Oryzias latipes: one gene and its partner. The protein of the gene in region 2 purifies or fractionates together with the protein of the main gene of each other region. This does not show direct contact. Links are inferred from orthologs where the notes say so. Each region holds a gene or a part of one and is shown on either strand. Other genes may lie near its edges.

Evidence for each region.
Region 1: the proteins of sec16a (region 2) and protein transport protein Sec23A purify together in Homo sapiens (affinity purification with mass spectrometry; 3 studies listed by BioGRID and IntAct, with this or other methods). This does not show direct contact. The link is inferred for Oryzias latipes from reciprocal best matches to the Homo sapiens genes SEC16A and SEC23B.

What each region holds. Positions count from the first base shown.
Region 1 is NC_019859.2:30,187,258-30,191,074, forward strand, and holds part of protein transport protein Sec23A, read left to right. Parts: intron 1-1,278; 5' UTR 1,279-1,285; coding exon 1,286-1,506; intron 1,507-1,706; coding exon 1,707-1,764; intron 1,765-1,864; coding exon 1,865-1,951; intron 1,952-2,071; coding exon 2,072-2,308; intron 2,309-2,415; coding exon 2,416-2,498; intron 2,499-2,585; coding exon 2,586-2,730; intron 2,731-3,817. UniProt on the Homo sapiens protein: Component of the coat protein complex II (COPII) which promotes the formation of transport vesicles from the endoplasmic reticulum (ER).
Region 2 is NC_019870.2:8,815,745-8,819,561, forward strand, and holds part of sec16a (protein transport protein Sec16A), read right to left. Parts: intron 3,759-3,817; coding exon 3,673-3,758; intron 3,547-3,672; coding exon 3,432-3,546; intron 3,353-3,431; coding exon 3,154-3,352; intron 2,775-3,153; coding exon 2,606-2,774; intron 2,203-2,605; coding exon 2,060-2,202; intron 1,794-2,059; coding exon 1,732-1,793; intron 1,014-1,731; coding exon 875-1,013; intron 778-874; coding exon 535-777; intron 455-534; coding exon 357-454; intron 280-356; coding exon 198-279; intron 63-197; coding exon 1-62. UniProt on the Homo sapiens protein: Acts as a molecular scaffold that plays a key role in the organization of the endoplasmic reticulum exit sites (ERES), also known as transitional endoplasmic reticulum (tER).

The DNA of each region.
Region 1 (3,817 bases), on a different chromosome or scaffold from region 2:
CTTGTCCTGAAAACAATGCATCTTTTTTTTTGTTTTGTTAACCGCACACAGAGTCCTCCTCAACATCAATTACTATTTTTTTTATCGTTCTATTCAGACGGCAGCAGAAAACAGTTTGACTCCTAATAAGAATAAAATTGTTCTTAAACAGAATCCGATCGTAAAGATTATACGTCAACAAGGAAATATTCCAATCCACATTTCCGACTCTGTAATGTACTTCAATACTGTACAGAAGACTGATCCTTTATTTTAGAACTACATACGTTTTTTTTTTTTTTAAGTATCCTGAAGACTTTGGTTTGAAAGTTGGCCTGCACAATAAATCGCAAATTTACTGTTATCGCTATATCAAGCTGTGGAATACGCATATCGCAAAAGACGGCGAAAATTACAATAAATGGTTACCTGAAATGTGCTAGAACGATGTTATGGCAGCTTGAAGAATTTCACGAGTCAAATAAATCCTTTTATGGATTTGACCAATCGGAGCGTTTTATGTTGGATGCTTGCCTCCCATGTAGACGAGGGTCATTTGGGGTATAATATAAGTTATGTCGACTCTTATTTAAATTAAACTGTTCCAGTGAAATGGAAATGTTTTTAGTTGCTTGTTCATGTACTGCCAGTTATATCGTCATGGCAATGCTAATTATTATTATCGAAATACGCAACTTTTCCTCATATCGTGCAGCCCTAGTGTAAAGTCAACATCAGAAACAGAAGCAGAGTCAAACCTTCCCTCAAGCCTGGAGGGCTTTTGTTCTCTGACTTAACCAGAAAACTCTGACTGTTTGGAAGGAAAAGTGTTGTTGAAAATCAAGGATTCCTTCTCTTGTTTTTTTTTGGGCCAGCAGACTGTGCAGATTTCAAATTCTTGAAGAAGTCGTCGGTTTGGTGTGACAGTCCCACAGGGGAGTTGCTACAACAAGCTCCTGGAGAATCTTTGCAAAGGGCGTCACAAATGCCTTATTGACACACCGATCTAAGTCGTCCCTGCAAAAATAGTACCTGTCTAATATTTGGACGCACCTTCCCATTCATGTTGGTATTTCAGCGCCGTTCCCATCGTCATTAAACCAGCCGGTCTGGTTTTCTGGTGACGCGGTTGTGCGTCAGGCCTCTTATTTTAGCACCAAAGAGGCAGGTTTAAGTCTTTAAAGAGGTGACTCTGGTTAGAGACGGCAGCAGAACTGACAGGAGCGCGTCCGGGCAACACGGTTTTCAGTCTGAAGGAGGCACCTCACTGACCTGAATCGGGTTCTTTCTGTGCCCCAGCTCAACGATGACCACCTACCAGGAGTTCATCCAGCAGAACGAGGACAGAGATGGGGTGAGGTTCAGCTGGAACCTCTGGCCCTCCAGCCGGCTGGAAGCCACCAGGCTGGTGGTCCCCGTCTCCTGCCTCTTCACACCTCTGAAGGAGAGACCCGACCTCCCCCCGGTTCAGTATGAGCCGGTTCTGTGCAGCCGGGCCAACTGCAAGGCTGTGCTCAACCCTCTGTGGTAAGTTTTCCTCCAAAATATTGCTTTCTTCTGATTCTTCCATGTTTTAAAGTGTCTGTTTGAAGATTTCATGAACGTTTAAAACTCTATTCTTTTGATGAGGCTCTGTGTTTTAGCTCATTGTTTCCAAATGATCTGACATATTCCAGTGCCGCTGACAGTTTAAGAAGCAGCTTTTTGTTTGAATCCTCTTCTTACAGCCAGGTTGACTTCAGGGCCAAAGTGTGGGCATGCAACTTCTGCTTCCAGAGGAATCCGGTGAGTGCTGAAGTATTTGACATCTGCCCCCGCGGCTGAACACGACCCGCTGGCATTCTTTTTGAGTGGGTTGTTAGAATCTGTCTTTGTGTTTGTGCAGTTTCCTCCTTCTTATGCCGGAATATCAGAAGTGAACCAACCAGCTGAGCTGATGCCGCAGTTTTCCACCATCGAGTACATTGTTCAGGTAAACACTTTGACACCCATGTCTTCAGAGTAGGGGGATGACTCCCCTTTTTAAAAAAACAAACATTTATTTGTTATTATAGATGGGGAAAATGAAATCATCTTTCTGTCCTCTTCACAGAGAGGCCCTCAAACCCCCCTGATCTTTCTGTACGTCGTTGACACATGTTTGGAGGAAGAGGACCTCCAGGCTCTGAAGGGTTCTCTTCAGATGTCCCTGAGCCTGCTGCCCCCCAACGCCCTGGTGGGTCTCATCACCTTTGGGCGGATGGTCCAAGTTCACGAGCTCAGCTGTGAAGGCATCGCCAAGAGCTACGTGTTCAGGGGCACCAAGGACCTCACCTCAAAACAGATCCAGGTTGGTTCTGGAGAGAATCAGGAAAATTAGGTTGATGATGGATAAAAACGTAGGATGAAGCCCGATGAAGGTTTGAAACGTTTCTCCATCTGCACGTCTGCTTTCAGGAGATGCTCGGTTTGATGAAGCCTGCAGCCACCGGACCTCAAGGTCGTCCCGTGGCTCCCCAGGATGCCGCTGCATCGTGCAGGTAGGAGGGACAAGATCTAGACAAGACAAGACATCCCAGTCTGTTTATGTTGAGCCGTTGTTAAGACTCCTGCGGGTTCTTGTCCAGGTTTCTGCAGCCCATCCACAGAGTGGATATGAATCTGACAGACCTGCTGGGGGAGTTGCAGAGAGACCCCTGGCCCGTCCCCCAGGGCAAACGGCCGCTCCGCTCCACCGGTGTCGCCCTCTCTGTTGCCGTTGGCCTTCTGGAGGTACAATAATCCCTACAGACATCCGTCCTCTCCCTCCCATGCTCTGCATATAAAAACGAATTAGGGCCTGGTTGTAACATGAACTTTGGCCGCTCCGCCACAGCTGGGCCACATGTCAGCGCTCAGAAAGACGCACGGCGCCTGATAATCATCTGGTGCTGTAACCGTAGATTTACTCTCAGTTCAAAGGCTGCTTCCTTTTTGCCATCTGTCTTTTCCCTCTTCATCCCCTCTCTTCCCATTTTGATAATCTGTCCCGTTACGCAACTCAAGAGTGTCAAAGATCAAACCCCCGCTAAAGTCTTCATCAGCCAGGGGCTGATATGTGCTGATTTCTTCTCCTTCCCTGAGTCCGAGCAGCAGAAACCTGCTTTCCTCTCTTCTGTGTGAAATCTCTGCTGGTGTGGAGCATCAAACCACTCTGTGCTGTACTTTCCCAAACTCCTGCGCTTTAGAACGGGACTGTTGTCCCAGACTCCTGCGCTGTAGAACGGGACTGTTGTCCCAAACTCATGCGCTGTAGAACGGGACTGTTGTCCCAGACTCCTGCGCTTTAGAACGGGACTGTTGTCCCAAACTCCTGCGCTGTAAAACGGGACTGTTGTCCCAGACTCCTGCGCTTTAGAACGGGACTGTTGTCCCAGACTCCTGCGCTTTAGAACGGGACTGTTTGCCCAAACTCCTGCGCTGTAGAACGGGACTGTTGTCCCAAACTCCTGCGCTGTAAAACGGGACTGTTGTCCCAGACTCCTGCGCTGTAAAACGGGACTGTTGTCCCAGACTCCTGCGCTTTAGAACGGGACTGTTGTCCCAAACTCCTGCGCTGTAAAACGGGACTGTTGTCCCAGACTCCTGCGCTTTAGAACGGGACTGTTGTCCCAAACTCCTGCGCTGTAAAACGGGACTGTTGTCCCAAACTCCTGCGCTGTAGAACGGGACTGTTGTCCCAGACTCCTGCGCTGTCGTCGGCTTTTGCCTGCTTTGTAGCTGCCTCCCTTTCAGCTGCATTCTTCGCAAGTCCAGAGCAGAGGAATGTCGTTGAACAATGTTTGGAATCACAAACGTGTCACGTTCTATAAGAATGCTG
Region 2 (3,817 bases):
AGGTTTGACAACACCATGGCCAAGTGAGGACGCCAGTCGCCCCATTTCTCCTCTCCACAGCACTACAGAAAAATTTGAAATACAGCTCAGCTAAAGCAGCAACAAAGACACGGAACTCAATATGCTTTAAACGTGGCCAGTGAAAGAGGATGGCTGCAAAAGAAAGATCAGAAATGAAGGACAGAAGGAAAACTCACGGTGGCTGATGCAGGCATTCTTCCTGACATCAACTGGTAAATCGTCTGAAGAGGATCATTCATTGGTAAACTATTTGCAAACCTAATAAACCAAAACAAAAAGTTATTAAAATATAGGGATAAATTGAAGAAAAACCTTTGAGAGGAACAAATTTGTACTTTGTCATGACACGTGCATGAGTTCGGCTATCCATCTTACTGGCCAGCAGTAACGCGTGACCCCAGAGACCAGCTTTCATGGCAGCTTCCAGAGCCTCCTACTCCCCAGAAAAAAATAAACGTTCAGCTCTCAAAGCTTAGAAACTCTTTGAATAAAGTGCAAAGAGGTCTTTGTTACTTTTTTGCGGCCAAACAGGAGCAATTCTCGGAAGCGCTCCGTTTCCTTGCCAACATTCTCTGGGACAGTCATAAAGGTGTCGGACAGAAGAGACAGCGGTCCAGTTCCTTGATCCTCCTCAGCGTGTGCCAGGGGTTCGTTATTAAAATCGATCAAATTTGCCTCATTGGGACTTTTGCCGGGCAGCCAGACAGAGCGATGCTCCTTCAACAATAGATCAGCGATGTCGGTACCGACGACGGTCTGAAGAAACAAAAGAAAACAGTGATATTTCGGCAAAATCTTTTTTTTAATATACTCTGCATCTTAGTTATTTGAGGCTACATCTGCATAGTCTCACTCCATTCTGTCTGCAAAGAAGCACAATAAAGTCCCAAAGCAGGCGAGCAGAATCCCTGTCCAGGAGGTTGTTGTCACGGGAACACTCCAGTCCTTTGCTTTGGGAGAATTTGATCACGTCCACTTTATGGGTCTCCCCTCTAATGACACACAGCAAGAGGTTGAAGATAACGGACACATTAGATCCTTTTTAAAAATATCACACTACACTTTAAGATCAAACAGATTAGATTAACTGTTTAAATTAAGTTGCTACTGTAAGGAAACTCCAGCGCCTGCTAATATTTGCCAATTTTTAAAATTCAGTGAACACCTGCAAGTTAAACAAAGTACCCAAAGAGTTTACATTCAAAAAATCATAGCAAAAACCAGAAATGAAAGCACTTTTTTTAAAGGGTTTGTGACAAATAGCAGAAATTTCTGCATCAAGCTTTGAGTTTACAAGCTTTTAAAAACAATTATGGAAGCCTCATCAAAACAGCAGTTTATAAAATAATGCCTTATTAAATTATAAAGATCAGCTTAACTGTTTCTCTAAATCTTTTGTGTATGCTAACCGTATGATTCTGCAGTAAAAAAAAGGCCAAAATGAAATATTACATTAAACATTTTTTAAAGAGCTGTAAGTATTGGTGATTGTTAAAGTCAATTGTCAAAGTTTTGATGCAAAGACCAAAACACAAACAAGGAGCGCGTTTATTTTAGTTTCTTTTTCTGCAGTTTTTTGAACCAGTATCTTTGCCTTACAGAGAACATTAAAACATATTTAATTTTTGCTAATTAATTTGGATTTGTAGTTTTATGTAAGATCTAGAGATGAAAAAAACGATATTTTTAAATAACAGTTGAATAGCTCACTTAATGAGAGGACCAGGGAATGCCCGTAGCTCTGCCTGATCAGGAGTGTCCTGCAACATGGTCTGGAAAAAATTAATTTGAACAAGAGGGTGAACACACTGCAAGTTCTTAGCCTTTATTTTCACAATAAGAGTCTAAGAAGCATTATCCTAAAAAGGGAAACCAGCAATGCAAATAATCTTAATGAGGTAAAGAAAGGAAACTCCTGTATGTGTAATGTATTAAACTAACAATCCTGTTAAAATGTTGTCATTACATATGAGCAAATGTGTCTGAGTTACTAATGTGTCCCTATGAGGACAGACAAACACAATCTGTTCAGATGTACCTCCAGGTTGTAGATATCAACCAGAGCTGGCTGTCCAGCTGAGGGAAGATTGGGTAAGACCTGAACCAAATGACCACCGGGTCCGAAGCGGGCACAGCGGTGAGGCATGGTGAACTTTTCTGGCGTTGCAGGACGAGGGGGAGCTACAAGAGAAATGAGAGTCAGACCGAAAGTACTTCACCAAACCTTTGTTTGGATTTTAACATTTAAAAGATGTGTTTAAACCGAGGGTTTTGCTTCCCAATCCTGATGTTTAAGTACCTCTGCCTTGCAAGTTTCACTTTTTTTCTCATGTCAAAAACTTCAATCTCAGTGGTGGGAAACACAGTTCAGTCTGTTCCAGAGAAACTTCTGAACTTCCATGCTTCCTGTGCTTCTAATGATCAATTTATTTAGAACTTGACTCTGTTGGTTTAAGTCAACTAATGCTCAACAGCAGCATAACTCTCGGAGTCGCATTTCATAAATCCCTCACTCTAGAAGCATCCAACATTTTCATCTCTCCCTGGTGGATCCCAAACAGGATTTATCTTATCATATACTTACGTTGTTTAGGGGCAATCCAGGAGCCGTCTGTGGTGTAATCTGAGGAGTAGAGGTATTTCTGGGTGGCATCAGTCTGATCGGGGTACTGCGCGTATGAGTAGTTCACAGCCATAGAAGTGTTGTCACAAACATCGACTGTCAAGTCAGGCTGACTCCTGTAAATCTGGCTCTTTAGTGGGGAGAAAATGGAAGAAAAATAAAAAGGCTCCTTTCAGTGTCAGAATAATCATTATAAACAACAGAGAAAAACTTTTTTCCCCAAACACAAGTTCTGACAAAAGAGGCTGACTTTTTCACAAACCTTTCACTGGTCTACTTGACCACTTTAAGCAGTTTTACACTCAAAATTGCAATTTTGTTAAAACATGTGTAGCATTATTTGAAAGGAGTAAGTGTTCCACCAGTCTGACTGCACAGTCATGTTAAAAAAGCAAATAAGTTTTGCAGAGGATGGAAAAACATTTAGTAAATTGAAATTATTTGACTTTTGTTGTTAAAACTTATGAACCAAGAAAAGACAACAAAAATCCAGTGTGCAGTCCAAATACCTGTTGTGAGCGGGAGCTAAAGCTGCTCTGCCTGCTGTGGTGGCTGTGCGAGCTGTGGACGCTGTGTGCCGACTGCTCGCTGTGGATGCTGCGCCGATCAAAGTCTTCCCCATACATCTCGCCGCCACAACGGTTGTCATCATCAAAGCTGGGGTCATAACCAGGATAGTACTTCCACTGGTCTTCATACCCCTCTTTCCTGCGCAAAAAGGAATGTATATTTAGAAAAAACACAACATACAACCTCAGTTTTACTCCCCAGGATTTAAAATGCATACCTCTGAGGATACACAGGCTGATTATAGTAATTGTTTCTGTATGTGTCATCATAGTAAGACCAGTATGACTGATCATAGTATCCTCTGTATCGTGGGTCCAATTGTCCATAATATCCTTTGCAAAAGAGAAAATGTTCAATCATGACAAAGAATTGACAAAAACTGATTTTACGCAAACATTATAAAAAAAAGTTCAGATCGGTTGAATATTTTCAATTTCTGTTTCTGTAGTAGCTCATACCTCCATATTCATAGTGCTTGGAATAGTCTGCATAATAGTCGCTGTAGGCACTTCGGTTTGCTCTGCTCTCATCAGGGTAGCCTTGCCTTTTGGAAAAAGCAGACAGACACTATTATATGAAAAAGTCATTAAGGGTTAAGACATG